7 linked regions of the Mus musculus genome follow. The protein of the gene in region 5 binds, or shares a complex with, the protein of the main gene of each other region. Links are inferred from orthologs where the notes say so. Each region holds a gene or a part of one and is shown on either strand. Other genes may lie near its edges. The genes, in order: Meaf6, Anp32e, Asdurf, Epc1, Ruvbl1, Ing3 and Vps72.

Evidence for each region.
Region 1: Ruvbl1 (region 5) and Meaf6 share a complex: the UniProt entries of both Homo sapiens proteins name them as parts of the nuA4 histone acetyltransferase complex. The link is inferred for Mus musculus from reciprocal best matches to the Homo sapiens genes RUVBL1 and MEAF6.
Region 2: Ruvbl1 (region 5) and Anp32e share a complex: the UniProt entries of both Homo sapiens proteins name them as parts of the SWR1-like complex. The link is inferred for Mus musculus from reciprocal best matches to the Homo sapiens genes RUVBL1 and ANP32E.
Region 3: Ruvbl1 (region 5) and Asdurf share a complex: the UniProt entries of both Homo sapiens proteins name them as parts of the PAQosome complex. The link is inferred for Mus musculus from reciprocal best matches to the Homo sapiens genes RUVBL1 and ASDURF.
Region 4: Ruvbl1 (region 5) and Epc1 share a complex: the UniProt entries of both Homo sapiens proteins name them as parts of the nuA4-related complex. The link is inferred for Mus musculus from reciprocal best matches to the Homo sapiens genes RUVBL1 and EPC1.
Region 6: Ruvbl1 (region 5) and Ing3 share a complex: the UniProt entries of both Homo sapiens proteins name them as parts of the SWR1-like complex. The link is inferred for Mus musculus from reciprocal best matches to the Homo sapiens genes RUVBL1 and ING3.
Region 7: the proteins of Ruvbl1 (region 5) and Vps72 are in contact, whole or in part, in a cryo-EM structure (PDB 9CA9), measured with the Homo sapiens proteins. The link is inferred for Mus musculus from reciprocal best matches to the Homo sapiens genes RUVBL1 and VPS72. Residues at the interface, in NP_003698.1 of Homo sapiens: Thr136, Leu138, Pro140, Glu142, Met147, Tyr150, Gly151, Lys152, Thr153, Ile154, Ser155, His156, Val157, Asp173, Pro174, Phe177, Glu178, Gln181, Ala187, Gly188, Arg205, Thr208, Tyr209, Ala210, Thr211, Glu212, Phe213; in NP_005988.1 of Homo sapiens: Ile212, His215, Arg263, Thr264, Phe265, Ile266, Thr267, Phe268, Ser269, Asp271, Phe274, Trp277, Phe278, Gln280, Gly281, Arg282, Pro283, Pro284, Lys285, Val286, Pro287, Arg289, Glu290, Ala299, Leu300, Tyr301, Arg302, Pro309.

Annotation. Positions count from the first base shown.
Region 1 is NC_000070.6:125,083,658-125,088,513, forward strand, and holds the start of Meaf6 (chromatin modification-related protein MEAF6), read left to right. Parts: upstream 1-1,503; 5' UTR 1,504-1,519; coding exon 1,520-1,609; intron 1,610-2,487; coding exon 2,488-2,603; intron 2,604-4,856.
Region 2 is NC_000069.6:95,927,712-95,932,369, reverse strand, and holds the start of Anp32e (acidic leucine-rich nuclear phosphoprotein 32 family member E), read right to left. Parts: upstream 3,114-4,658; 5' UTR 2,774-3,113; coding exon 2,720-2,773; intron 1-2,719. UniProt on the Homo sapiens protein: Histone chaperone that specifically mediates the genome-wide removal of histone H2A.Z/H2AZ1 from the nucleosome: removes H2A.Z/H2AZ1 from its normal sites of deposition, especially from enhancer and insulator regions.
Region 3 is NC_000067.6:53,349,421-53,354,294, forward strand, and holds the start of Asdurf (ASNSD1 upstream open reading frame protein), read right to left. Parts: upstream 3,333-4,874; 5' UTR 3,200-3,332; coding exon 3,110-3,199; intron 1,514-3,109; coding exon 1,460-1,513; intron 643-1,459; coding exon 567-642; intron 1-566.
Region 4 is NC_000084.6:6,438,334-6,442,539, forward strand, and holds part of Epc1 (enhancer of polycomb homolog 1), read right to left. Parts: intron 2,911-4,206; coding exon 2,789-2,910; intron 1,858-2,788; coding exon 1,716-1,857; intron 1,623-1,715; coding exon 1,259-1,622; intron 1-1,258. UniProt on the Homo sapiens protein: Component of the NuA4 histone acetyltransferase (HAT) complex, a multiprotein complex involved in transcriptional activation of select genes principally by acetylation of nucleosomal histones H4 and H2A.
Region 5 is NC_000072.6:88,489,224-88,493,429, reverse strand, and holds part of Ruvbl1 (ruvB-like 1), read right to left. Parts: intron 1,915-4,206; coding exon 1,812-1,914; intron 1,806-1,811; exon of another isoform or gene 1-1,805. UniProt on the Homo sapiens protein: Possesses single-stranded DNA-stimulated ATPase and ATP-dependent DNA helicase (3' to 5') activity; hexamerization is thought to be critical for ATP hydrolysis and adjacent subunits in the ring-like structure contribute to the ATPase activity.
Region 6 is NC_000072.6:21,969,967-21,974,172, forward strand, and holds part of Ing3 (inhibitor of growth protein 3), read left to right. Parts: coding exon 1-141; intron 142-1,140; coding exon 1,141-1,342; intron 1,343-1,844; coding exon 1,845-1,883; intron 1,884-3,616; coding exon 3,617-3,733; 3' UTR 3,734-4,206. UniProt on the Homo sapiens protein: Component of the NuA4 histone acetyltransferase (HAT) complex which is involved in transcriptional activation of select genes principally by acetylation of nucleosomal histones H4 and H2A.
Region 7 is NC_000069.6:95,120,485-95,123,700, reverse strand, and holds the end of Vps72 (vacuolar protein sorting-associated protein 72 homolog), read right to left. Parts: intron 2,440-3,216; coding exon 2,295-2,439; intron 1,323-2,294; coding exon 923-1,322; 3' UTR 650-922; downstream 1-649. UniProt on the Homo sapiens protein: Deposition-and-exchange histone chaperone specific for H2AZ1, specifically chaperones H2AZ1 and deposits it into nucleosomes.

The sequences.
Region 1 (4,856 bases), on a different chromosome or scaffold from region 5:
CCTATAAATATATGGGCATCTCAAATTGGGACTCAGTCATTAAAACGGGGCAGGGGGAAAAGCTGGAGAGAGGATGGATCAGAGCTCTCCCCCAGGACCCTGGTTCAATCTCCAGCACCCACATGGCAGCTTACAACTATTCCTCCAGTCCCAGGAGGATCTGATGTCTTCTGGTCTTCTTGGGAATTGCATGCATATGGTACAGAGACATACATGCAGGCAAAACACTCATAGACATAAAAAGAAAATTTCCAAGGTCTGATTGTTATTTTTTTGAGCCTAGGCTAGCCTCAAATTCTCTGTGTAGTTGAGGCTCATCTTGATTTTTTCCCCCTCAAAACAGCTGTCCTGTCTGTCTTCGAGTCCCCTGAGTGCTGGGAATAAAGACATGTGCCACCATGCCTGGCCCTGGGAGGTTCTTCTGTGGGCCAGGCTGGCAGGAAAGGAAGAGATGCTAGACTCAAATTCAGGGATTTGTGCAAGCTTGGGCTTAGGCAGATATTTTACCAACTGAGTTTCATCTACAGCCTTGACTTTCTTTTTTGGGGGGTGGTGGTGAAACTGTCTTATATAGTCTTACTGGCCCAAATACTATGTAGTACCTTGACCTTCCTGCTTCTTTTACCGCGGCCTCTTGGGTGCTAGAATTATAGGCATGTACTACTGGAGAGGAACAAGAGATTAGTGAAGAGGTTTGTGAGAGAGAAAATTAGGCAAGAGGAGTTTTAGAAAATTGAGAATTTCTCATACCTGTTGAACAATATACATCTAGGGCATAGAAACCCAAGGACATCCACCCATGGGGGCAAAGAACGCCACCTAAACTACGAGTGACGTTGCTGAGCACTGAGAATGCAGAGGTGGGCTCAGGGTGTACCTGTAGAGTGCTTGCTTCGTCTGTCCTGAGATCCATCCCCAGCACCTATTAACAGCGGGCATGCTCAACACATGGAATCCCAGCAGTGGGAAGGCAGAGGCAGGACGATAAACTCACGGTCTGTTTCTGTTCAATACCAGCCTGGATACAGTTCTGGATCTGAAGATAGAAGCTAATTCTTTCATAATCCTTCCCCTCCGGCAAACCACGTACAACAGGAGATCTGCTTGCCTGTGCTAAACCCAGCAAGATGTTGGTTTGGGGATCTTCTCTGCAACCCGGTTGGTGGGCGGAACCTTGCTCAGGTTTTCCACCTGCAGTTGGGTGGTGTTGCAAGGACCTCGTCTGCCGGGAGACATATGGAATACTCAACAGGCCTATGCTGCAGCTGGGTTCTCGATGTAGTGAATGTCTGTGGGTGTCTGTTAAGCTCAGAGGCCCACAGTGGAGCAGCAAGGAAGGTCCCACACGTACAAGCGCCTCTCCGCGCCGGCTTTCGCGCGCTGAGCCGGCCAGCTTCCCCGGAAGCCGCGCGCGCAGGCGCGGTGTGGGGGGTCGCGCCCCCTGGCGGCCAGCGGCGACAGTGCGCAGGGTCCGCCTACTGGTCGCGCGCCGCCGCCTCCGCCGCCGCTTGAGCCCAACATGGCGATGCACAACAAGACGGCGCCGCCGCAGATCCCAGACACCCGGCGGGAGCTGGCCGAGCTGGTTAAGCGGAAGCAGGAGCTGGCGGTGAGTGGCCGAGGCCTGGACGCCGTCCCCACTTGGCCTCGCAGGCAGCTCCGGAGGCGAGGACGGCGGGCAGCCAGGGTCTGGGCGCTCTGGGCGGCCGGGCGCGGCGCGGTTCCCTGCGGCGGCGCGGTTCCCGGCCTGCGCTCAGTGGGGCGGGGCGGGGCGGTGAGGGCGCGGGAAGGGCGAGAGGCAGGAGGCGGGGACGACGCTCAGGTCGGGTTAGCGGTTGGAAAGGAGGCGGCTAGACCCCGGCCTGGAGAAGATGCACGATGGATTCCATGGGCGGCGCGTTTCAATGGCCGGGGAATGTGGTGTATTTGAGGATGCCAAGGAACGGGGCTGGCGGGAGACCCAAGACGCAGCCTAGGGAATTTGGATTGGTGACGCGCACCAGGAGCCGCCGGCACCCTGCTGACTGCCCTGTAGGCTCCCGCCTTTTACGGCGAGCATCCGGGAGGCAAAGCTCACCTGAAGCTGCCCTTCCAGGTTTCCATAGCAACCGGCATCCACTGCGGGCGGCCCTTCCAGAGCTAGCAGGGAGGAAGCAGTTGATGTAGAAGAGATGCTTTTGAAAAGCTGTTCACCCTTCTCGCTGCTGGTAGCAACACATTTAGTGAGTGAGAATGGAGACAGCTCACGGTCTGTCTCATCCCTGCTCGTGACAGCTAGGTTTTGCCTCTGAAGTAGATGCAAAATCTTGCATGTGTGTGCATTTTCTGAGGATAGACTATACATTTCATTCTATTTATAAAGGGGTCCATCACCCCTACACTTCCACAGAAATGGTTCATTGTGGGTAAGCTTGACTTTACAAGTCTGTGACGGAATTTCAGTTTGCTTAATGCTTGTTTTTCCCTGTCCCTGTTTTCATCACCTAGGAAACACTTGCAAACTTGGAGAGACAGATATATGCTTTTGAAGGAAGCTACCTGGAAGACACTCAGATGTATGGCAATATTATCCGTGGCTGGGATCGGTATTTGACCAATCAAAAGTGAGTGTCAAAATCTAGTAGTATTAGCTGAGCACTGGTGGTGCACGCCTTTAATCCCAGCACTTGGGAAGCAGAGGCAGGTAGATTTCTGAGTTCGAGGCCAGCCTGGTCAACAGAGTAAGTTCCAGGACAGCCAGGGCTATACAGAGAAACCCTGTCTGGAAGAAAAAAAAATCTAATAGTATCTCTCCATTTTATCCTCTACTAATATTTGGCTGCAGGATTTTTGTTTTGATTTAAAACATGGTCTTACTATGTAGCCCTGGTTAGCCTGGAACTCACTAAGTAAAGCAGGCTGGCCTCGGATTCACAGATCACATAGCTCTTTCTCCCTCTGACTTCTGACTGATAGATTTAAAGGTATGGACTGTCATGTCCAGCTTGGGACATTTGCTTTTGGCATTTACTCTGCAAGGAGATGGTAGAGCCGTAGTGTGGAATGGGGTCTAAGCTTGAACTTGTACTCTGACGGCTCACGGAGAAACCTTGGGGAAGCCAGTATTTGTGATGAAAGAAAATAGGGCCCATGGTGCAGGGATGTGTGGGTGTAAGTGAAGTACAGCCTGTGACCGAACTGTCTTCCACATTTTCATCAGCCACGCTGTGCCATTACGATCTTTGTTCTACCTCCAAGTTCATTGTTACCACTGTCAGCTCAGTCATGCGATTGTATAAAAATGCCTACGCTTGTGAGGAATTTTTCAAATCTGTAGGAAAACTGAGATGAGAATGTGCATGACCAGTTAGTGTTTTTCCCATGTATTCATGAGTTGCTAACTCACTGTGGGTGCATGCTCTCTCTGAAGTACGAAAACTTCTCTGTGTGCTTAAGAACCTTTTGTTTGGAAATAATTTACAGATGGCGATAGAAAGCTGTACAAACAATAGACATGGCTTGTGTGTGCTTACGTAGTTTTCTCTGATGGTTACGTTTTACGTAACTATAGAGTATCATCAAAATCAGGAAATCAAGATTGGCTGTGTGGGGGTGGGGGTGGGGGTGGGTATGGCATTTTAACGTATGTGTATAACTACAGGATGTGAAACCAGGCCCAGGAGATATTGCTCGGTGAGTAAAGGCGCTTGGTGTACAAGCCTGATGACCGGAGCTCAGTTCCCAGAACCTGTGTTAAAAGGCACAACTGGCAACAGGAGAGATGGCTCAGCAGTTAAGAGCACACACTGCTCTGGCAGAGGACAGGAGTTCGACTCCCAGCATCACTGTTAGGTGCCTTACAGCTACCTGTAACGGAGCCCCAGGGGATTAGACTCTGTCTACTGAACTTTTGGACCATCCCCCACCCCCACCCCCACCCCTGCCATTTAACACACATGTGTAAATGCACGTCTGGAATTTTAGCATATGTGGTGGGATTTGGGGACAGGAGAATCGCTCACTTGGGAAGTTTGCAGGACAGCCTGAACTATGTAGTGCTGTCCAAATAACCAGATTGCCTCTGTCTCAACAAGGTAGAAAGCAAGGGCCACTGGTGGAAAGCTGCCCTCTGATTAGTGTGTGTATAAAGATGCAGACCCATTCCGCCGTCACAGGGTCTCCTCCCTGCTCCTCCTCTGTGGTTACATTGCTGTTTGCCCGTGCTTTCTCTCCCTGCTAACCATTGAAGAGTTAGGCGCTTACACCACGAATCTCTGCCTCTAAATATATTATCAGTTACTTCCTGAGAAGAGCAAGGCATCTCTGCATATAACTCGGATGCTTATAGCTTAAACATTAACACGGATTCCTTCAGATTCCCTTGGTTGGCCCCACAATGCTTTGCTACTCTTTTTTTGATCCTGGATCCAGTGGCTTTCGGCAGTTATGTCTCATTAATATTTTGTTGTTGTTTGTTTGTTTGTTTGGAGACAGGGTTTCTCTGTGTAGACCAGGCTGGCTTCTGACTCACAGAGATCCACATGGCTCTGCCTCCCGAGTGCTGGGACTGTAGGTGAATGTCCTCGTGGCCTGCAGGCTCCTGCTTTAAGGGCTCTGTTCTTTGTCCATTGCTGCAGGGGCTACAGCGCAGGGCGCTGAGCATGCTGGGCAAGTGCTCTGCTGCTGAGCTGAACCCCCAGTCTGAGTCCCAGCTTGTGACCCTCTGGTTCTGTACCTCTGTCTTATTGGGTGACACGTTGTTGGGTGGTCCTATGATAGCTCTGCTGTAAAAGTTCATTTCTTTTTTTTTAAGAATTATTTATTTTATGTATGTGAGTACACTGTAGCTGTCTTCAGACACACCAGAAGAGGGCATC
Region 2 (4,658 bases), on a different chromosome or scaffold from region 5:
GCACCCTAGGCATGCAGTACCCATGGAAGCCAGAAGATGGGTGTTGGATAACTGGGACTGGAGTTACAGACAGTAGTGAGCTGCCATGTGGGTTCTGGTTCTGGGAAGACCTGGAAGGACAGCCAGTGTTGGTAACCCCTGAGCCATCTCTCTGGCTCAGAAGGGGATTTCTTTTTTTCTTTTTTTTTTTTTTTTTTTTAGATTTTTTGAGACAGGATTTCTCTGTGTAGCCCTGGCTGTCCTGGAACTCACTCTGTAGACCAGGCTGGCCTCAAACTCAGAAATTTGCCTGCCTCTGTCTCCCAAGTGCTGGGATTAAAGGCGTGCACCACCACGCCCGGCCCAGAAGGGGATTTCTTAATATCTCTGGGCAGTAAATTTATTTATTTATTTTTTAATGTGTATCCATTTTTCCTCATATGAACCTCATATGTGCCCAGTGCCTTCAGAGGCCAGAAAAGGAGTTGGACTCCTGGGAGTTTGTAAGCCACCTTGTGAGTGGTGGCTCATAACCACTGAGCCACAGATCTGAGATATAGTAACAAAACTTACCCTATGCACCTGAATAGATGTAATCACAAAAGCAAACCCTGGTTCTCTATTCCCAGAGCAAAAAAAATGTCTATTTAAAGGCAACAAGGACTGTCATCTTCCCTACTTGAGTGTAACTTTGGCATTATTTAAATGAGCAGAAATGGTACAAAGATATCCCTGTTATAGCCTCAGGGAAGCCTAGGTATGCAAAATGACTTGCATTACGTCACACCATTAGTGTCAGGTAGGGACATTTTGATAAGTCTGTTTGGGTTTTGGTTTTGTTTTGTTTTGTTTTAAGACATGGTCTTTGTGTAGCCCTGTCTGTCCTATAACTTGCTCTGTAGACTAGCATGGTCTCTGAATCACAGAAATCCATCTGCCTGCCTCTGCCTCCTGGCTGTTGGGATTAACAGCTCGTGGGACACTATCTCCGACTTGTTCATTTGGTTTTTGTTTTGTTTTGTTTTTTGTTTTTTGTTTTTTTTTTTTTTTTTGGTTTTTCGAGACAGGGTTTCTCTGTGTAGCCCTGGCTGTCCTGGAACTCACTCTGTAGACCAGGCTGGCCTTGAACCCAGAAATCCACCTGCCTCTGCCTCTCGAGTGCTGGGATTAAAGGCATGCGCCACCACCGTCTGGCTGTTCGTTTTTGAGACAGCTGTAGTCAAACTCAAAACTGGCCTCAAACTCAAAAAGATCTGCCTGCCTCTGCCTTGAATTAAATGCCTACCACGCCAAGCAATTCTTAAGCCTTTGGATTCTGGTCTTAACCAGAGACTTCTTAGAGCTCAGCAAGAGTTTTGTAGACCTAGTGTCAGAATCCCAGCTCTTCAACTTTACTCCTATTTGCTAATTTGGATTCTAGAACAATACAACCCAGCTTACATTTTCCCAAGGAGAAAGTAAATAAATGGGAGTGCCTTATAAACTATCTATATAAACTTAACTGTTACCACACCACACCAAAGGAAAGAGACTGCAAAAAGGCATGTCAAGCAATCCTCCAAATTGAAGGTGAAAGGATGGGGCGGAGGGGACGACCCATTTTTGCTCCACAAGACTTCTGAGAAACTGCTTGTTTTGATTTGCTTTGCCTTGTTTGACAGAGTCCCACTTGCAACCAGCGTCCTACCTCGGCCTCCCTCCCAAGGGCTGGGAATTTCTTGATATGAGAAGTACAGATTTACAGATATACAGAATTACAGATATCACTCACCACGTCCTGCTGACAGCTTTCAACTTTTGAGTTTTTCTAGAATCTTCTAAGAAGCTCTAGAAAACTTCCATTGCTCCCAGAGATAACCCTCACAGCAACAATGTTTCCACCACCTCTCTCTCGCCTCCAGTCACCAAAACCCGCAAAGGAACCACGAAAATCAGCAGGGCTCAGGGACCGTTGGCTCTGCATGATAACTGTGGAGGCCCGGCAGATGCCCGCCTTTGAGCGGGCGTCAAGGGACCACGGCGGCGCGGACCCCTTGTCCCTCGATTTCACGCCGCGGCCGCGAATCAGCGAGCCTGGTCCCCGCCCGCCGCGGCCAATCTCCAGACCCGCGGACCTGGCGTAAACCGCTAGGGAATCCGACGGCGGGGAGTCGGGGCGACGCCTCCCGGGCCCCCTTCAAGACTCGGGACTCTTCCCTACGACCGCACTGAGCGCAGCGAGGCTCGCACAAGCCTCCAGCTTGCGTAAAAGTCCGCGCGCCACGCGGATCGCGGCCCGCGCCGTCGGGTCCCGGGATTCCGCTGCGGCCCCGGCCGCGGCGCGTGCTGCCCGCGAGCGGGCACGGTCGGAGGGAGCGTGGGGCACAGATCGGCGCGAGTCCCACACCCGGGGCCGCGGCCGGCCGAGTGGCGGCGCCGCGGGAAAGTTACACCAACTTCGCAGGTGGCGAGGACCCGGGGGTCGCGCCCACGCCGCCCGCGCCCGCGATGCCGGGCCACCAGTCTGCGAGGACGCCATGGGGCTGAGCCCCCGCGCGCTCACGAAAATGCCCCTAGAAACTTAAGCCCTTCGCCATTTTAAGCACAAGAGCCTGGTGATTTAAAACTTAAAATAAACACCCCGCCTCCACCCCAAGTGGGGGCGCGCTTCCCAGCCCGCCCTGCGCACCCACCCGGACCCCCGAAGCCCACCCCTCACGATCCAGGGCGGGAGGGGACTATGGGGGCTGAGTCATCTCACCTCCTCCGGGGCTCTGTTCTTCAACTCCATGTTAATCTTCTTCTTCATCTCCATGTCCTCCTCCTTTCCCCTCGCCTGCCCTCCCCACTATCCCCAACCCTAAAAAAACCTCTAAAGGTCTGGAGATGAATGAAAAGAGACGCAAAGACGAACGCCCACTACCACACGGGTGTGGGAGAGAAAGAAAAGAATAGCAAATGGAGTCCGACGACTTGGGACTAACTCGGCTGCCCCCACCTCCGAGTCCACACACCCGCGCGCGCACACTCGGGCACGCACACACTTTCACACAGAGAGAGTGAGGGAGAGAGACACGCGCGCGCCCGCAGTTCCTTCCCCTTCAATGGCTGCTGCGAGACTGAGCCTCCATGACACGGCACCGCCAACCCCCCCTAGCCTACACTCCACCCACCTCCCAACGGGATTGGTCGAGTCCTTAGCGTCACACGACTCCATTGGGCTAGAGGGTTGTCCATTTGTCTTTAGGGGGGACCTGGACCAGAAACTCAGTGTCTATTGGCTCTGACTAGGCGCGCAGTTAATTCCGATAGGTTCGGGAGGATGTACGTCCCGGAGAAATGATTTTGAATCCCAGTCGCCCCCCTCCTTTTCTTTGTGTGATTGGCGCGCTTTCCCCTTGGTAGTAGGACGGTTTGGGTGTCTGTTGGGTTTGTTTTTGTTTGTTTGGGGTTTTTCTGGCTTCAGGGTTAAAAGGAAGGGAAAAGGCGTCGTTGGCATCCCCAAGTTGTAAGTGGGTCATGCAACACACTGCACCCAGAGCTTTCGGTGGTCTTAAAGCACAAGCCTTCTGCTCTGCGGCTAAAGTGTAAGCAGGGGCGCGAGCGCGAACAGCGTGTTGGTGACACCTCCCCGTCCCGAACTGCTTGTAGAACCAGAGCGTGATAAAGAAGGTATTTTAACTTCCAACATAAAGGGGGGAACGGCTCTGAAAGCAGAGTTGAGTTTAGCACGTTGAGTCAGAAGCCTTTAAATAAAACTGTCCAGGAGGAGTTGATACTGAGGTCATTTGTCACTGCTAAAAAGTTGGAATATTAGAGCCAGCCGCGGTGGCACACGCCTTTAATCCCAGCACTGGAAGGCAGAGTCAGGCAGATCTCTGAATTCGAGGCCAACCTGGTCTACAGAGCGAGTTCCAGGATTACACAGAAAGGGGGGTGGGGTGGGGAGAGACTGTTTCCAAAAGACAGAAAAACAAACAAACAAAATTGACACCTTAGAGGAAAAATAACACAGGCCTAAAGAAACACAATTATCAGAAACTGTCCAGCAAGGCCTCTCCTTTCCTACAGGAATCTACTTAAAATGTTCTTTTAAGTGTGAGGGGATGGAGAGGCAATGACCTCTAGCAGAGGTTCCACCCTGGTTCGATTTCTAGCACCCATATAGTGGCTCATAATCACCCATAACTACAATGCCAGGAAATTCAGAGGCATCCTCCGGACTCCACAGGCCACAGGCACAGATGCATTGTGTGTGCGTACGTGCAGGCAAAACACACGGATATGCAAAAACAAAATAAGTAAATTAAAAACAAAACCAAAACTTTTTTTTTCTGTTTAATGTTCCTGAAAGATCCAACATTCCTTTAATCATAGCCCTCAGAAGGGAGAGAGGGGCAGATCCACAGTCATCTACTAAGTAAATCCAAGGCCAGCCTCTGTCACAAAATAACAATAACAACAGAAACTATGTAATTATTTCTTTTAGATTCCTTTTTCTCTGCTTCTTAGTTGCCATGTGTTGCAATTCCTTCTGTGATAAACTATACCAAGATCTGTGAACTAAAACAAATCCTTTCTCCCTTCAAAATATTATTTTTATCTTTTTTTTGGTGGGAGATGAAAAGTACAAAACAGGGTATCTTCATGTAGCCCTGGCTGTCCTAGAACTCAGTCTGTAGACCAGGCTGGCCTCGAAC
Region 3 (4,874 bases), on a different chromosome or scaffold from region 5:
GACGACTATAAGACAGTGTCTTCCAGACATGATGGGGTTGTTATGAACATGAACTCTCTGCAGCTATGGCTGCCTGCCCAAGATCAAGCCAATCCAAATCCCAGCCCGAGCCCTACCGGAAGAGTCTTTTTAAAACTGTAGAACATCTGCAAGGTGGTTGTGGTGCAGCGCATGCCTTTAATCTCAGCACTTGAGAGGCAGAGGCAGGCAGATCTCTGAGTTCAAGACCAACCTGATCCATACACTAAGTTTCAGGACAGCCAAGGCTACACAGAGAAACTCTGTCTTAAAGGACTCCCCCTGCCACCCCCTCTCCCCAAAAAACCAAAACCAAAACCAAAACCAAAAAACCCCCCCAAAAACCAAAAACCAATAAACAACCCACTGTACATATCTTTGGAAGTCTAACTGGAAAACAGACCACTGTACTAAATCAACACACACATTTATTCAGATAGGGCTTAACTGAGGCACCATTATGAATCCCCACAAAAAGCTTACAAAAGGTTTTCTGTAGCATTCCATATATAACTCTGAAAACAAAAACCAAGACGACCACCACTCACTTTTGCTTTCAGAAAAGATTTTTGTTCGATCTTCAAGAAAGAATATGTTGCTGTTCTGTTGCTGCTTGTATACTCTCTGCAAACGAAATTGACAAGATCAGGGTATGACATGCACACTGATGCTGAACAGGATCCTGTTATCATTTATTCTTGAACTTCAGGAATATTCAGAACAGTAATTACCACAGAGAAACAAAGCCACTGAATACTACGCCACCCAGAACTGGTTGTTTACTTAGCATGCATCATCATACCACACACTTTCAGTAACAAAAGCTATCATAGCCACAGATTTATAATTTACTTCATAAATGAATAATACATGGAGACCTTTTCTGACCATATGGGTACAACACTATAGTTCTTTGCTGGCCTCAAGCTTCAGACACTTACTGTATCGTCACTACAGGTGCTGATGAGCGCCTCTACGTGTAAACACACATGCACCCTCACAACTGCTTACACACCAGTTACTCAGAAGTGTCAAACAGCATTTACACATTTTGACAGTTTGATCTCCAAAAATTTGTATTAATTTGCCTTAGCATCTAATATATCCCAAATGACAATATCAGAAATGTCAAGAATGTCAGTCATTACATAATCGCAGCTGATTTCTGAACATATTCATAAAAAAGGCATTAAATGGGTTAAGTATTTAGAATAGTAAAGTTTTCTGTGAAAAACTTCATTCTTTTTTGTTAAAATATAATAAATATTTTTTTATCTTTGAGATCTATTGACATATACAGGAAAAACAAATTTAAAACATGCAAAAACAAACTAGGATACCACGTTAGCTTTTAAATTATGATCTTTGAATTTTGTAATGTTAGCATAAATAATCGAAATCATAATTTTAATATACTATTCAGATTTCCACAGCAACTCACCCGATTCTTCTTTAGATTAGAAAGTTCATCCACAATAATTTTCTGTTCTTTAATCTATTAAAGTAAAGAAAAAAATCTAAAGTGGAAGATTTCAAAGTATGTTTAGCGAGAACATTTTAAGTCACTGCTTTAAAACTAAAGATGGGGTTGGGGGCTATAATGGACTGCCTGTCTAAATGGACACTGAACAAATCAACAGCACTCAGTCTGGAATCAGTAGAAGACAGCTTGAGAAGGAGAAGCATAGGCTTGCCAGGGGTCAGTTACCACAGCTCACATCTTTAACCAGGGTGAGCCACTGCCTACCCAAATTAATACCAATCTTTTAAGCCAGGCAGTGGTGGCGCACGCCTTTAATCTCAGCACTTGAGAGGCAGAGGCAGGCAGATTTCTGAGTTCGAGGCCAGCCTGGTCTACAGACTGAGTTCTGTGACAGCCAGAGCTACACAGAGAAACCCTGTCTTGAAAAAAACAAAAAACAACCAAACAAAAGAACCAAAAACAAACAAAACCTCTCCCGAAAACAACAAAAACCCAATCTTTTAGTTTTATAAGGTCTTGCTGTAGACAAAAAGAGAGAAATAAAATGAATGTGGGTTCTCCTCTTTACCAACAACCAATGGTTTTATGATGTATGCACTAGATGACAGCCAGACATTCGGATAAAACAAATGAAATGGTACTATGGTACTGAATGCCCTACCTGCACTGATCCAACATGATTTTCCACCACTGTATCATTCTATTTCAAGTATTAAGGACTGCATATTGCTGGTATCGTTAAGCTAGGCAAATAGTCTATTAAGTCCTGAGAGCTGTACTAATAACCTACAAAGCCATATTGAGTACGCTTTCCTTGAGATTCAAGTCTGCTTGTACAGTGTTTTTATGCTCATTACAGGAATGACAGGTGTCACTTTAGGTGACACCACAGTACACTGTGGTACAGCGGGAATTAGGCAATGTACTGAAGATATCATATAGGACAGAAAAAATACAGAATTTAGGAATGTTTAATATCTGAAAAGACTATACCCACACCCTTCCACTCTACACGTTTAAAGATTTTCGTCTGTAACTGGAAGTTAGGACTAGTTCCGGTATGGGGTTGCCTCCCTGAAATCCTGGCTATTAGGCAAGAGAATTATTCAAGTAATGCCTAAGCAATAATATCTGAGGCTGGCCTGAGTTATTTATGAAATCCTATCCTAAAGGTATAGAAAAAAATTAATTTGATAGGGTGCTCCTTTCTCTTGTTGAATAATAAAGAGATGACCAAACAGATGTTTTTAGGATCACTTAAAGTTGAGAATATATTTTAAGGTAACAGGCAGCTGAGAAAATCGGCTAAGAAGCTTTTGCCTGAGTCTGGAAGAACAGGTACAGACTTCTAAACTTTTATGATGGACGTCATGGATGGCACCCAGGCGGGTGCGTGGCTAACTGGATGAAGCACAGCCACAGAGCAACAGATCTGTGTGTGACTGAGCAACACATCTGTGTGTCACTTTTTTTCAGGGGACACGCCTCCATCGTCGCAAACCTGCAGGATGGAGGGGAATCAGCTGCTGGTGCTGAGAATGCACGGCGGAGGCTACAGGGCACAGCGGGGCCCGCCGCCCACCACCCTTCCCCGGCGTCCCACGGCACCTTGCTGCTAAGGGACTCGGCGTGCGCAGTCGATGTGTGTGGGGGCCCCGGCGCGGCGCGGCCATCGGCGTGCACCCCACTGCTGGGCATCGCCTAGCCGCGCCGCACGCCAAGAACCGCGACTGAGGAAGGAACGGCAGCCAGCAGCCCCGGCAGGAAGCCTGGGTTCCACTCAGGAATCCGCCCCTTCCGGCACCCCGACCAATGGAGTGCGCACACTCACGCCTGCGCAGTGGCAAGCGCGCGCGGGGTGGGTTGTGAAAAGTCGAATTAAGAGTTGTGCTCCACTGCAAAATGGTTTTCTGCTAAATGTAGGTGTGGCTTGGCTGCAGAATCTATGAATGGTCTGTATCGCCCCCTAGTGGATCCTATGTAAAAATAAATCACTATAATTTAATACTCTTAAATTTGGTTTTCTTCTCCTCCTCCCCCTCCCCCTTCCTCCTCCTCCCCCTCCTTCTTCCTCTTCTTCTTTTTCTTCTCATCCCCTTCCCCCTCCTCTCCCCTCCCCTTCCTCTTCCTCCTCCTCCTTCTCTTCCTCTTCTTCTCGTCCCTTCCCTCCTCCCCCTCCTCCTCCTCCTTCTCCTCCTCCTCCTCCCCTCCCCTCCTCCTCTTCTTCTTCAGATTTACTTATTTTATGTATATGATGAGTTCACTGTCTCTGTCTTAAGACATACCAGATGCAGATCTCAGGTGCAGAGGATACCATAGAAAACATTGAAACAACAGTCAAGGAAAATGCAAATTGCAAAAAGCTCCTAACCCAAAATATCCAGGAAATCCAGGACACAATGACAAGACCAAATCTAAGGATAACAGGTATAGAAGAGAGTGAAGATTCCCAACTTAAATGGTCAGTAAATATCCTCAACAAAATTAAACAAGAAAACTTTCCTAACCTAAAGAATTTGATGCCCATGAACATACAAGAAGCCTACAGAACTCCAAATAAATTGGACCAGAAAAGAAATTCCTCCCATCACATAATAATCAAAATACCAAATGCACTAAACAAACAAACAAACAAAAGAATATTAAAAGCAGTAAGGAAAAAGGGTGAAGTAACATGCAAAGTCATACCTATCAGAATTACACCAGACTTCTCAGCAGAGACTATGAAAGCTGGAAGATCCTGGGCAGATGTCATACAGACCCTAAGAGACCACAAATAGCAGCCCTGACTACTATTACAGCAACACCCTCAATTACCATAGATGGAGAAACAAAGATATTCCATGGCAAAACAAAATGTACACAGTGTCTTTCCACAAATCTAGCTCTATAAAGGATAATAGATGGAAAACACCCACACAAGGAGGGAAACTGCACCCTAGAAAAAGCAAGAAAGTAATCTCCTTTCAACACACCCAAAAGAAGATAACCACACAAACATAAAAATAACATAAAAAATAATAGGAAGCAGCAATCACTATTCCTTAATTTCTCTTAACATCAATGGACTCAATCCCCCCAATAAAAAGACATAGACTAACAGACTGGATATGTAAACTGGGCCCAACATTTTGCTGCATATAGGAAACACACCTCAGTGTCAAAGACAAACACTATGTCAGAATAAAGGGCTGAGAATAATTTTCCAATCAAATGGTCCCAAGAAACAAATTGGAGTAGACATTCTAATATAGGATAAAATTGACTTTCAACCAAAAGTCATCAAAAAAGATAAGGAAGGACACTTCATACTCATCAAAGGAAATATCTACTAAGAAGAACCCTTAATTCTGAACATTTATGCTCCAAATGC
Region 4 (4,206 bases), on a different chromosome or scaffold from region 5:
GTCCTAATGGACGTCACTAAGTGAGACACAGACACAGGACTAGTAGCCAGAACACTAGGTTCTAGAGGTATCCTTTGAAAAGTCCACTGGCTTTGTTTCCTACTTTTAAATAGAGTCAGGGATATGAGAAGTCCCATCTACTGTAAATGTCCTCATATTTGTCCAGTTCTACAGCAATTAAAGTCATCATTGGTGATGGGGAAGCGGAACTAATCCCCTGACCAGCCATGAACAGACCAACAATACGTTCCTGGTATTGACCTGATAAATGTAGACAGGGACCTGTAGATGTGCAAAGTAAAGGCTACCAATAAGCAACAACATAGCTGTTCTTCCCTGACACTCTCTGCTGAAAAGTTTAAATGTTGGTCTAGCACAGGCCTGGCCCTCCCCCCTCCCCCAACCCAGCTACTTGTTAACCACTAAACACTAGCTCTCCCAACTTTATTTCTGCTTTGCCTATTTCTGATCTACACTCACAGTTACCTTGCTGTGAAAATGTTTCTCTTTGTTTTAAAACAACAGTGATTGTCTGTACAGTGAACTGAGCAGCACACGTTGCTCTAAGACCCGCCTAGAAAGGCTTCTGTCTATTACCTGCACTGCTTTAATATGTATGTCTATGTTTTAAGCTTAGTTCTTGCTAATCTGAATAATGCAGGTCTTTGTTTCTTTTTCTCCTAGTACTATGTAGCAGCAGGACTTTAATTAGTTAATACAGAGTTAAAGTAATAGTTAGTTATAGTTAAAAAGGCGCCTTGACAAAAACCCTAAACTACTGAACTTCAATAAGGTGAGTGAGCAGAGAAAGCAATGATTAGATGTGGCCAGGTCTGCCAGCATTGCCACTACTGGGAGTAGCTAGCAGACTGTGGAAGAAAGGTTTACCAATTTCAGTCCCACAGTAGGCTACAGATGAAATCAACAGCACAACAACACATGCGAAAAAGAATTCCTCGCACCCAAAGCTGGAGAAGATTTCTAGAGATTTCTAGGTTACTGCTGCAGTAGGAGGTCCACGTCACAGAAGCAACATGACTTTCCCAGGGAGTGGACCGGCTTAGTCTCAAGACTGAATTCAACTAACACTGAATTATAACATCCACTTGCTTAGTTCTTGAATAAACAAAGATTTGTGTGTGTGTATTCATTCATTCAATACACAGAAGGAAACGAGAAAATTTAGGTGGATAGCCACTTCAGGAGGCAGAGTTAGGTGTTTACATTTCAGACATTTCAGCTTAGAAGAACTACTCACCTTGGAACTGAATCTACAGAGGATGAGGAGGGGACCTTGGAAACTTGACAATTTGCTGCAGCAGCCAGCTTTAAGGCAGATGGCGGAACAGCACTTAAAGTCCTAGGTATATGCCGTGCGTTTATTGGGGTGACAGAGTTGACAGTGGGGACAGATGAGGGGACAGTTAATCGGATGTTGTTCCCAAACAGAACCTGAGTTGTTGCAGAGCTGGCAGCAGTTACTTGGTGACTCAGTGAGCTGTGGGAACCCGAAGTCTGTGTAATATTTGAAGGCTGTAACAAAGTTGAACCTGCTGTCGAAGGACTCGTATGTACAAGTGCCGTTGGTGTAGTGCTACTGAGGTGTAAGCCCTTGTATACTCCTAGGGAGAAAAAGAAAGCGTGTAAGCGCTGTGCATTTTGTGGCTGAGTCACGATGTGTACAAATACGTATGCACGCAGATGCCACCCCTCACCTGAGGCAGGAAGGACGCCATTCACCCCGAGCCCGAGCACCACATCATCCTTCACCTTGAACCCCAGCAGCTGTTCCGACGTCATCAAAGCAGAAGCAGCAAACTGTGCACTAGCAGAGTCCAACGTCTTAGAAACAAAACCCTGATAGGAAAACACAAAGGTCAGCATGAGTCAGAGCAACACAGGCCACCACAGTCAGTCGGCCTCACTACACAGGTCACCACAGTCAGCTTCACAGATCTAAAAGCAGCAAACCAATGAGATCTATTCTATTTTCATAGCCGTAAGTCTGAAGGTTGAAAAGTTAGCTAACTTAAGGGTTTATACATTTTGATCTTCCTATGGGAATACAAAATATATACAAAGCAATTACCAAAATAAGCCTATTAGTACAGAATGCAACAACAGCAAAAAGTTCCACTTGAAAGGTTAAAACACATTTCTCAGGTAGTGCAGTGCTGGACGAACCCATTAAGGCAAATATGTAAACTTCTTCCATTTAATCTCTAAATGGCTCCTCTCTGTAAACACCCTCAGTGCTAATATCCACCCACTGTACACTCAAAGGCATCTTTCAATAGTAAGACAACCATCTCTTAATTAAAAAAAGATCTGACATCGTAATTAAAAAATGAGAAGACCTCTTTAATCTCCAAAAATGAAATTTCCTTTAAGATGCTTAGAAGACTCAATTCTCAGCCTTTCAAGCCCCAACTCTATCTATACAGCAAATACTTTTCCAAGAGCAGAACAGGTTGTTTGGGCTTAGTTCTGGAACCGGAACATCTGCTGCTGGGGCTTTACGTTGGGGACAGTACGTTACACACAGACCACGAGTCAGAAAGAAGCAACTTTACAACTAAGAGAACCATGGTCTCAGGCTACTCTGTGTAACAGGCAGCAGAGCAAACAGCTCCCAGACTCACCTGGAATGTTCTTTCTAAACCCTGTACATTCAGGCCAGAGCCACTTTTCTGCTGGTTAGATGCAAGGTTCTAGGACAACACTTGGTAATTAGAGATGAACTCTGGTGGGAAACAACGAGGATAATCCTAAGACACAAGGCCCTCACCTGTTGCGCGGCGGCAGAGGAACTACTATTTGCTTGCTGCTGCTGCTGAGTCTGCGCAAGCTGCTGCTGCTGCATGAGTGCCAGCTGCTGCTGGTGCTGCTGGTACTGTTCGGCTGTGAATGCTGAACATAAATAAGGAGACAGTTCACAAGATGCACAGACACCAGACGCCTTACAACATTAAAAATTCAGCAGAAGAAAAAGATGTTTTTGTGCAAAATGGAAGCATTTGGATAGAAATGATGCTGCCAGAGATGGCTCCCAGAGGCAAACGAGCATCTTCTGCCACATTTAACCAAAGTGGCTTCAAGTTAAAGAAAAAGCCACTACTTTTTTCAGCTGTGACACTGTGCTGGACAGTGCAGAAAGTGCTCTTGGGCTCCCAGTCCACACTCTTGGAGATGCACTTTGCAGTGAGTATGAGGTGAAACCTGGTAAACAGCATTCCGCTTCTATTTTGTCCAGATCGTCATACCGAGGCCCGGGCCTTCCCAACAGCTGTGTACAAACACTAAAGTCTACATAGCTTCTTATTCCAATCATTGCAAAACTTTCTTCTACATAAAAAGTAAATCTGATAGTTTAATACTTAGACAGGAGAACTTATCTTTCAAGTTTAACAGGAAGAAAAGAAGTACCAGGATTAAGGTTAATGAACTTGCCCCACCCAGTTAACCCACCTGGACAAAATCCAGTCAATAAGAACGGAGTTATGCTGATTACTGTACAGAGTGAAGCCTGAGGACAGACACTGTGTTATGCTACTATGTGTGTCTATGGAGAGCTCAGTTCTAAAAAAGACAAACAAAAAAAATGTTCATTTATTACCCCCCAAAGTGTGTGCAACTTTAAAAAGGAAACCTGTTTCTTTATTCTTTTCCTTTGCCAGGTTAAAAAGAAAGGGGGGGAGGGGAGAAGAAAAAAGAAAGCAAATAGTATCACAACCACCTGACAGTAAAGGCTTCTTAAAGAAACCATTCCGAGTAGAAGTTACTTAAACAAACCAAAACCAAAAAATTCCCCCCAAAACCCCAAACAATCAATCAAAAAAAAAAAAAAAAAAAAACCAAACACACAAACAAACCAAAACCAAAACCCAAAACAATAGAGTTACGCTACATCCTATGGTACCAGGGCATCTATTATCCACCGTTCCTGGGGCTCAAGCCTGCCATTTCAAACATGCCCACCTGACTTGCTATGAAGTGCTCCGCTAGTTGGAATATCATCATCCCATCAAGTTTTCTGAATTTCACCTGTAACTTGGGAGGGATCTTTACTAACCTCCAGGGTCCTGGGTCCAGGGTCTGCCTGGTGGCACTGGACAATAGGAACACATCTACCACACTTTCAATGTACCCAGAAGACCGTTAGGCTACCAGAACCTTCACACGTTCCTCAACTGAATTAAGCTCATG
Region 5 (4,206 bases):
AAAGCAGGGAGTCTCCTGTCACCATCTTAATGGATTCTGAGTGGCAATGGCCAAAGCCCAAGGTAGGTCTCTCCTTTACCAGAGAGGGTATTCTAGACTGCTTCTGTTGTGGTGCAACAATGACCAAGGTGACTTGGGAAGGACAGGTTTATTACATCTCACAGGCCACAGACCACCATGCAGGAAAGCCAGGGCAGGAACTCAGCTGGACCTGGAGGCAGGAACTGCAGCAGACACATGGAGGGGTGCTGCTCACTAAGAGGCACCCAGGCTGACGTCTAGCTCGTTTCTTAAACAGTTCAGGGTGACCTAGGGATAGCACTGCCCACAATGGGCTGGGCCAGCCTACATCATTTGTAATCAAGAAAACGTGCCACAGGCCAATCTGAGGGAGACAATTCCCCAACTGAAGTTCTCTCTTCCTGAGGTGTGTCAAGTTGACAACCAAAATCAGCTCCCACAGGTGCCCAGTTGCTTGAGCCACTAGGCCAGCAAAGGGAAGCCACAGAACGGTGGGTGTCACTTCTTGGCAGGACTAAAGCTTTGAGCTCAACAGCAAGCACTTCCTGATCTGCACGGTGGCTTTGCTCCTGCTCCTGCTCAGCGGCCACCTAGCACTGGCCTGGTAGGCAATGGGCCATTTCAAGACATGGGGCCCAGGGGGAGGAAGCTGGCCCAGTGAGTCCCTCTAAGGAGATAATGGGACCCCCGAGTCTTTCCTATCTTTCTTCACCCCAAGCCCATCAAGAGTAAGCTACCTACTCTGTTCTGTCTCCTTCGTGATACACTATAGAGCTCAAAGTTCAAAGGACAGGGCTAGATGACAAGCCAAAGCCAAGAAACCATGTCCACAATAACCCTCTCCTTACTTAAGTTGATTCCCTCAGGTACTGACCGTCACAGGAATGGAGGAGACGTTAGACAGGCCATGGAGCTGACTTCCTAAATAAGGTTCACAAGTGGCACTATGACCTTTAACAGCTGGTCTGGGAGAAGAGAGATTTGCTGGTATGTCACCATGAATCCCTGAGTGCTATTAATGAGAAATACTGGCAAGGCCACACTGCACGGGCCATAGGAGAGCACACAGTTTCAGAGAAGAGCCACAGCCACCACAATGCTCCAGCCACTGTCCTAGCCACTCGCTGGCATTATATATAACACTGAGACATCTGTGTGCTACGCTTAGTATGCTCATCTATCTGGGTTCCTGTTTGTTCTGTTAAAAGTCTAGCCTAGCTTCCACCTCACTGTGTGGCTGAGGAGGACCCTCCACCTCAATTTCTCAAGTGCTGGCCAAGTACAGGAAAGCTTCACCAAGTTGAGTTTATGTGGCACTGGGGACCAAAACCGAGGCTTAGTGCATGCTGGAAAAAAATCAGTCTAGCAACAAGGTACAGGCCCAGAATGTTTGTGTTTGCTTGTTTGTTTCCTTTTGAGACAGGATCTCACTATGCCTAAAACCTGTGATCCTCCTGCCTCAGCCTCCTGAGTGCTGGAACTGCAGGTGTGCATTACCATACCAAGCAACTACATCATACTTCCTTGCTCCTTTCTTCAGGCTGAGGGCATCTGGTGACCACTAAGCCCATGTTTTCTTTCCTCCCTTTCCTCAAGCTCACCAGAAATAGCTGGGCAAGACCATGGGCTCTAATCTAACCATCTAAGAATGTCCACTCAGAAGAACCCATCTGTCAGAGCCTCAAGGACACTGGGATTTGCTCAGAAGAGTGAGCAGAGCAAGGCCTAGGCTAGCCAAGTGGTCAGAAGCGGGTAGAAAGGGGGGGGAGAGCATGAGATTCCGGGCTTACCTGCTTCATCTCCTGTGGCGTGTATAGCATGGTCCTGATGATCATCACCCTGTCTAGCAGATCCAACGGGATGCCGTGTGGAGAAGTGATGTCCTCAGTGCCCCTGCAAGGGCCAAAATCACTCCCATCACCCAAAAAATGCTTACATCTTGGACAACAGACACATGAGTGGAGGCACTCACAGTACAAGTAGGTAGCTAGCATCCCTGAGTATCAGAGCCAGGTGGCCCTGGGCAACAGCTTTATTATCCCAGTTCGGGAAGGGAACACACCGAAACCAAATCCAAAATCAAACAGACCCATCTATTTGCTAAACCTTCAAAGAGTATTTTATAATTATACCGCTAATGTATACATTTTTCTGTTTTGTCTGTTGCTTTAGTCTTAATAGCCAGACCTAATTTCCACTTGACAGCACACATTCATGAATTGCCTCCTCTGAAATGATCACCAGGCTTGAGCATCCCAGAGATCTACTGCGTGGATGACTGTGCCAACCTGCACAGCTACGTGAGGGGCCTGGTCTCAGCACCACAGGCAGCACCGAACATTTTAATTCCTAAATATTTGCTGCTTTAATAATTTAGAAAAAGAAAAGGGAACACCTTGATTGAGTTGCATTTCCTTGCTTACTAATGAGGCACAAATGTTTCCCCTCACATCCATGCTTTTCTTCCTGAGAATTGTCCAATTACATCCTTTGTTTTTCTTTTCAACCTTTAGCCAAGCCCTAGTCAACAGCCAGGAGAGGAAGCCTGCCAACCTGCCAGCCTGTGCCAGCCGCCTGACGGGACATATGCTGGGCAGACGCTGGTGCCCTACAGCCAGCCCAGCCACAGCACGGGACGCTGAGCAACTGTGGGGCTCTGCATCAAGCCATCCTGACCCAGGCGGCCATCAGTCTCCCTAACAGCCATCACAACTGCAAGAAATAACACAACTGATTAGAATAACAGAGAGCGAGGCATGCCATTTCAATTTAGTTGTTAATATCAAAATATTTGGTTTCAGGGCTGGCGACATGGTCCAGCAGGCAAAGGTGCTTAAAGCCCAATAGTCTGAGTTCAATTCAGAGACCCCCACATGTGTGCAGTGCCGTGGGCGTGAGCGTGTGCACACTGACAAAAAAGGGAGAAGAAAAAAGATTCAAGCAAGCAAAAAATAAATAAATAAATAAATAAATAATCAATTTTTAAATTCTTTCCATACAGGTGAGTATCAGTGTATATTTATTATAAAATTAAGTGAAAGTAAATTGTATGGCAGGATAAACTTGAAACACGGTAGTAAACAACCAGACACAGAGGCCAATGGGTATCAGACTGCATGCCAGGAAAACAAAGTGGCCGTGCACAGAAGGTAGTCAGAGGCGATGCAGCCTGAGCAGGGAGGATGGGACTGGATGCTAATCGGGGCCACAGCAGTCTTGGTTTTGAGGTGAGGAAAAGGTTCTGGAAACAGGCGCTGGAGGACAACTCTGTGTCGAGGGCTCTGTGTAAGCTCTGTGTCACTGCTCCTGAAGAGGCCCTGTGATTTGGTTTTCCTAGCACCCACGTGGTGGCTCACAGCTGACCATAACTCCAACTTCAGGGGGTCTAATGCCTTCTTCTGGCCTCCACAGGCTCATGCATGCATGTGGTGCACAGACATGCACACATGTATCTTTATACACATAAGGTATATATATAAAAAAAAGAATATATCCTTTAAAAAGCTTGGAACTATAGATAGCACTGATGGTTGTGTCGTATGTCAATGAGTTTTACAGTTGGAAACGGGTCAAACGGTAAATGTTAGGACTGGGCTGCTCAGCAGAGTGCTTGCCTAACAAGCATGGCACTCTAGGCCTGATCCTCAGCACAGCACGAGACCGGCCATGAAGAACAAGCCTGTGCTACTACCGCGCCTCAGGAGGAGCAGGAGTTCAAGGTTACCATTAAGCTATACAAGAATAATAAGAGAGAATTGTAACATGACAAGTTTTATCAGGATTCAAATCACAGTACTTAGAATAGCTACCATCTTCTTTAAAAAAAAAAAGTTTAAAAATGATGTTTAAATTTTTGTTACTGAATACCCTTTCAACTCTTCTTAAAGTTTATTGTGGGTAGTGGGGAAGGCCAGAATTCTGAGGACATCTTAATATCTGAAATCTGCCATGTTGAAGTAGCCTAAAACCAAAAATAGTCAAATTTCCACAGTCTTTGATTTAAACATGATAAAAAAACACAAGAAATTCACTGGAAATCTATGTGAGAAATGAAGTCCCCAGCCCCAAAAGAACAGAACTTACACAGATGGGGTAACGAGCTTTCTTATAGATGAGTTCATAAAGCTAAAATGTAAACCAACAGCCCACTCAGTTACTAAGGGCTGCCAAGCACGACTTAGTCAT
Region 6 (4,206 bases), about 67 Mb from region 5:
GAACAATGACTTCCAGCTGGGAAAAGAATTTTCCATACCCAGAGAAACAGCTGGCTACTCCTCCTCATCGGCACTCATGACAACCTTAACCCAGAATGCCAGTTCCTCCGCCACGGACTCGCGGAGTGGCAGGAAGAGCAAGTAAGTTTCCCATGGCAGTGTGTGTCTTTGTTCAGGGTTGTTGTGTGGAGCTGTATCCATACATCTCCAGGGATTAACCACAGCAGGGTACAGTGATCCAGGCTAAACACTGGATAGGCAGTTGGCTCTCTGCACTGCCTCACCTTGAAGGCAGGAAGGAAGTCTTTCAACTGTTAGAGTCATTTGTAATTGTTCTCAGTTAGTATGTAAGTGACTTCTTTTTACTTTCTTTTGTTCTTTCAGATAAATCATTTTGTGTCACTATTCCTATTTGTAGTTTAGGTGTTTAGAAACCCTGTTGTCTGAGCTGAAGGAGGAAAAAAAGGTGCAAATGAGAGACCAAAAGAGTTAGTTATATAATAATGCATTTTATCTTTATTTTAAATGTATTACTTCTCTACAAAAATCTCCTGAAAGAATGATCAATGTAAAGTCTCCACAGAACTATTATACATCTTAAAATTGATATGAATTGCCCACATTTAGTTGAACTCCTTATAATAAATTTCTGCATGTTCTCTGGAATAGAGTTGGTGGTAAACAGTTGTTGAATTCTGATACTCTCAGATCCAGCTATACTTGATAGGCATAGGACACATGCCAACTGATGTTAGGACTTTGCCAAATACTTTTCTATATTTGTACTTAGGTTTTGATAAGAACTCTTTAATTTACTGTAAAAACATTAACAGTGTGAGATGGTGTAACTATTATTCTTGAACACTACCAAAAATTTTAAGTCAATGGTAGATAGTAACCTTAATTTAGAAATTATCTTTAAAAGTTGAAACATTTTAAGAGAATTTTCTTCTATTTATTTTAAATAGAAGATTTTAAGAATATTTCCTTCTTAAAGGAACTTATTCTCCAGAAAACAAAAATTGTAAACCTAGGGTCAGACCTCAGCGTGTCCTTTCCTTCTGTGTCGGTGACGAGGAGTCACTCTCGGGGAACCGCCCCAGTGAACAAATGCAGCTAATCTGCCTGTAATTTTTTCAGAAACAACACCAAGTCTTCAAGCCAGCAGTCGTCGTCCTCCTCCTCCTCGTCGTCCTCTTCCTCCTTATCTCTGTGTTCATCGTCTTCAACTGTAGTACAAGAAGTTTCCCAGCAAGCAACTGTAGTGCCCGAATCTGACTCCAACAGTCAAGTCGATTGGACTTACGACCCAAATGAACCTCGGTATTGCATCTGTAATCAGGTAAAAACATCTACTGCGTGTCTATAAAAGTGTAGTCTGAAGAAACAAGAAAGAAAACTGTTTTAAAATCAGCACATTTTTATGCTAACTAAAATCAAGAATGGTTTACTTATAATTTTTGTCTTATAAAAGTAGTATACTTGCTATAAATACCAAGAATCATGAATTACGTGTAATGCCAACTTTCCCATACAACCTATGGTGAGACATTTGATGTCACAACACATGTACCCTGCATGCATGATGTAATACACCACTGGCCCTGTGGCCTACACAGCAGAAACTCCTCCCTGTGATGGTGCTAGAGACTGGGAGACCCGTGACGAAGGCGCTGGTTGACTAGCTACCTGTAAGGCCAGTCTGTGAGTTTAAAGGCAGTGCTTTTCTACTGAGTATTTATGAATCAGAGAGAAGAAGATCATATTGTGCGGTTATGCAATGTGCCAACTTCTTAAATGCTTGTAACATACTTGTAATGTTTATCTAATTTTCTTTGAACCAGGTATCCTATGGAGAGATGGTGGGATGTGATAACCAAGATGTGAGTATTGCATTTTCCTATATTGGGATGTAAAAAGGTGTAGATGACTGAGTATTTGTCTTATTAATTCTATTTCCCAGTTTGGCAATCAGGTTTTCATTTGGGATAACTACATTATCCTGATGAAAGCATCTACATGGCTTTAATGATTTTCCTGCTTCAGTGTTTCAAGGTGGCACTACTCGTGTTAGGTTCAGATTAAATTCACAAGGATTACTGTTGGCAGTTCGAAGTGCTTTCTTTTCTTTCCGCCTAAGATACTGTATTTACCAGAGTCCTGGTTGTTTATCACATTGAAGAAGTGAAACTAAAAGGATGCTCAGGGATAATTAAGACCTAATGTGTGGTTATTTCCCTCGTTATTATAGCATTCGGCATTCTCTCCACAAGGGGCTTGGACTGTACAAGCCATCTCTGATGGGAAACTGAGAGGAGATTTGAGAAAGGACTCCTGCTTCCTGTGCTAGGAAGGGTATTAGTTACTTGATAAGAACACCGTGACAGAAAGCAACTTAAGGCAGGGAAGGGTGTCTCTTGACTTACAGTTCCAAAGGGAACACAGTCCATCTTGGCAGGGCACGCATGGCAGCAGGAGTGTAAGGTTGGCCTGGTAGTCAGGAAGCCACCTGATTCTGTTTCACCCACCCAGGGCAGGCAGAAGGGAGGCAGCAAGTACAAGTGGAGGCAGGGTTTGAAACCTCCAGTCCACCCCAGTGAAGCACTTCTAGCAAGGCACCCTGTCCTAAAGGTTCTAGAAACTTCCTAAACAGTGCTACTAGCTGGGGACCAACTGAGCTTATCAGGGGAATTTCATATTCAAACCACAAAAGGGATTTAATTTTGGATAAAGATGCATGTTTGATTAAATACTGTTTGATTGTCTAGGGATTTTGGCTCATTCCTTAACTGCCCTACAGCAGTTTTGTACCTGCTACTCCCTTTTGTACCTGTTGTACTTCAAAGGAGTAGCATGAAACTTGTGACCTTGGTGACACCAGTGGTGTCAGAATTCTGATATTAACAAGAGTCACAAGGACAGTTGTGTGTGTTCCTTCCCTGACAGGGTGGGTGCACTGTGCTCTTGAGAAGGGCACAGTCCCTCCCCAGCTGTCCCGTGCAGTCACTTGTGTGTGTATGTGGGGAGGTGTTTTAAAGCAGTGTCCTCTGGGGTCCCTGTAGTTCCTCCAGTGCTGTTGTGGGTATCAAGCCTTCCTGTGGAGTGAAGAATTTTTTAATATTTCAGAGAGGAGGGTTTCCTCCATATCTCTGGATAGAGCACCAGAAAGGAAACACAGCCAGTTGATGGCTTTAGTTACAGCTAGCTCATTCCACTTCCAGAGAACAATTATGGCTGGATATTTTTAAGTCTTTTACATGTTTTCCTTCTTCATGTAAGATTCATATTCTTTATTCTTTGGAAGATGGCACCGCCTGGCGGCTGTCCAAGTTGATGGCAGCAAATAAATGTCCATTCTTTAGTGCTCAGGTACTAGAGTCCATGACGTCTCTCTTATCAAAGAAGCATCCTTTTCCTGGGTGTCCATGTTTTCATCCATGAGGCACATCTGTCAGACTCAGTAACGTTTAGTCACTGCCAGGGTCCAAGAAATCTGATCGCACAGACCTAAGTTTGGTTAAATGAAATACTGTGTGTCCTAAGCATTTTTTTTATTATTATTATCTGTTCTTTAGAAATACCAACTCCCCTTTTTTTTTTAAATTTTCTCTTCCAGTGTCCAATAGAGTGGTTCCACTATGGGTGTGTTGGCTTGACCGAAGCGCCGAAGGGGAAGTGGTTCTGTCCGCAGTGCACCGCTGCCATGAAGAGAAGAGGCAGTCGGCACAAATAGAGAGGGACTCTATTGTCACTGCAGGAAGGAGGAACTCCAGCTCGCCATTTTATACAGGACGCTAGGAGGAAAGACACGAGGACGAAGAAGCAGCTCATCTCCAGGCCACCACTTAGAGGATTACAGAGACAATCCTATAAGATCTTGAACTTGAATTTTATGAGTTGTATTTTAATAATGTAAGTAAATTATTTATGCACTCCTGGTGTGCTATGAATATTATTCCAGTTAGCCTTGGATTATTTCTGTGGCCAACATATGCAGACATTTGTACTCCAACCATTTTCTCAAAGTAATGGGCATTCTATAATTTAAACTTCAAAGAATTCCAACGATGAAGATTTTAAGAAAGTATTTTATATTCAACAGGTATATTCAGCTGCATGTACTGTACTCCAGAGCTGTTATGTTACACTGTATATAAATGGTTGCAAAAAACAAAAACAAAAAACAAAATACAAACAAAAAAAGTC
Region 7 (3,216 bases), on a different chromosome or scaffold from region 5:
CTGGTATTTAAGAGACTATGTACTGGCTGGTTTTATGTGTCAATTTGACACAGGCTGGAGTTATCATGGAGAAAGGAGCTTCAGTTGAAGAAATGCCTCCATGAGATCCAGCTGTAAGGCATTTTCTCAATTAGTGAACAAGGGGGAAAGGCCCCTTGTGGGTGGGACCATCTCTGGGCTGGTAGTCTTGGGTTCTGTAAGAGAGCAAACTGAGCAAGCCAGTAACATCCCTCCATGGCCTCTGCATCAGCTCCTGCTCCCTGACCTGCTTGACTTCCTTTGGTGATTAACAGCAATGTGGAAAGTATAAGCTGAATAAACCTTTTCCTCCTCAACTTGCTTATTGGTCATGATGTTTGTGCAGGAATAGGAACCCTGACTAAGACAGACTAAGAGAGTTAAATATGGATAACCCAGGTAAGTGTAATAAAAATGATAGACATGAGTGCAGGCATCTTTATGACACCCACTACTTAGTAAATACATGCTACTTAAAAGGACAGAGCAGGAACAGTGATTTACCCCTCTAGGCCCAGCGCTTGGAAGGTTGACATGGGAGGCTTGCTTGAGCCCAGGAGTCTGAAATTAGTCTGGATAAATTAGCAAGAACTTGTGGTTTATTTATTTATTTATTTGTTTTTTTTTTTTTCCAAGACAGGATTTGTCTGTTTAGCCCTGGCTGTCCTGGAACTCACTCTGTAGACCAGGTTGGCCTCGAACTCAGAAATCCCCCTGCCTCTGCCCCAACCTTACACATCAGACAAAAAGGATTTTACCATTTTATTAGATTAAAAAAATGAAGAGCACAAGTAAATGAAATGAACTAGGGAGGAACTGAGGGAAACAAGGGCGAAGGTTGGCAGAAGGGAGGGCGGAGTGGAGAGCCAGGTCAGGAGAGGGACTGTCTAGGGGTCAGGTGTCTCTATTTGATGACAATCTTCTGACGCAAGGCTCGAGGCCCAGAGCCAGGTAGTGGCTCGGGGGGTGGGGGCCCGGGGCCCAGCGCCGAGGCGGTGGGTGGAAGTCCGTGGGCAGTGATGTACTTCTTGTACGCCTCACGGATGATCTTGAAGGCTCTAGCAGTGGCATAGGGTATGTCTGTAACAGGGTCCCGGTACAAAGCTGGACGGTGGGTCACTGGGCAGACCTCCCGCACCGGGACCTTCGGGGGTCGCCCCTGGGGGAACCACTCTTCAAACGTTGCATCATCACTGAACGTGATGAAGGTGCGAGAGCAGTGAGCAGGAGGGGTGGCAGCGGCAGCTCCAGTCCCGGTCCCAGCATGTGGAGCCAGTGCAGAGGCTGTAGGAGCAGGATCAAGGCTGAGGGCAAGAGAAAAGTCACAAAATGCTGCGGAGACAGACAAAGGAAGGTGGTAGGCTAGGTTTGCTGGCTGTGACCTCAGTATTTACCAGGCCATGGGGCTGGAAAGATGGCTCAGCAGTTAAGAGCTGGGCTACTCTCCCAGGATAGAGGTTTGAGGCCTAGCACTCAAACAGTGGCTCACAACCGTCTGTAACTTCAGTTACACGGAATATGTCACCCTCTTCTGGCTTCAATGGGTACCAGGCCAGACAAAGCAGGCAAAACACTGATATACATTAAAATAAAATAAATAAATAAGCAAACAAACAAATAATAAAATAAAATAAAAAGTTGGGCATGATGCTTCACATTTGTGACCCCAATACTAAGGAGAAAGAGGCGGGTAGATCATGAATACTAGCCTGGGCTATATAAGGAGTTCCAGGCCAGCCAGAGCTACAGAGTAAGACCAACTCAAAACAAAACAACAGGAAGTGTCAGAGCCATTTGTCTGCTTCTCAAGTAGAGTAAAAGTCTGCCCGCCAGGCAGAGTCAAGGCAGGTCAGGGTCTGCTGCCAGATTTCCTGGCCTGCTGACATAAAACGTTAGGAAGAGATACACGTAAGGCTTGAGAGGAAGAGGTAAACATTCTGTTAACCTCGGAGGAAGGAACAGGGAGGCCTCAGGATGAGATCAGATACCCTATATACATGGCAGCAATTGTTTCTGCTAGCTTGTTAGTTTTATATCCTGAGACACTGCGGTATCAGAAGGCTACACGCATTACACTTGGGCTACTACAGTACTCACTGACAGACCCCTCTCTTGTCCTGTGTCTGCTGTCTTCTCTTTGATCATCCTCACTCCCCGCTCAGAGACTACTTACCTGGTGCTGGCAGCCAGCAGAGGGAAGGAATGAGCTGAGGTCTGAATGTGTGCAGTGAGAAAAGTAAACTCCTAGAGAAGCCGGGGGCACGGGGTTCACTCACCCTTCCACGTCCACATTTTCCTCCTTGGGGCCGGGCTCCCCAACAAGCGGCACCGTCACTGAGTGGTAGGTGATTATTGGCCCAGGGCACTTCCGCTTCTTGTGAACCTGCTTCTTTTTGTCAGCCTCCAGCCTTTCATAGGTCTCTGCAGGATCGAAGGGAGAAACGACAGAATGGTCAGCTTTCCTTTCCCACACTCTGGCCTGTCATCTACTTAAATTACACATATGTATTTTCAAGAGTGTATGTACATGAACACATGTGTGGAGAGGTCAGATGACAATGTGCTAGGGTCAGTTCTCGGCTTCCATCGTGTGGATTCCAAGAATTAAACTCAGGCTGTCACCAACTGCTTTACCTGCTGAGCTATCACAGCTCTCTGGGCTCTGTCCTGTGATTTTGTTTCTTTGTTTCTTTTTTGGCTTTTTGAGACAGGGTTTCTCTGTGTGGCTTTGGCTCTCCCGGAACTCAGAGATCTGCCTGACTCTGCCTCCCAGGTGCTGAGATTAAAAGTGTGTGTGCGGGGCTGGTGAGGTGGCTCAGTGGGTAAGAGCACCCGACTGCTCTTCCGAAGGTCCGGAGTTCAAATCCCAGCAACCACATGGTGGCTAACAACCATCCGTAACAAGATCTGACTCCCTCTTCTGGTGTGTCTGAAGACAGCTACAGTGTTCTTACATATAATAATAAATAAATCTTTAAAAAAAAAAAAAAAAGTGTGTGTGCAACCATTGCCAGCTGAGTCTGTATTTCTCTCTCTCTCTCTCTCTCTTTCTCTCTCTCTTTTTTTGAGACAGGGTTTCTCTGTGTTTCCCTGGCTGTCCTGGAACTCACTTTGTAGACCAGGCTGGCCTTGAACTCAGAAATCCACCTGCCTCTGCCTCCCCAGTGCTGGGATTAAAGGCATGTGCCACCACTACCT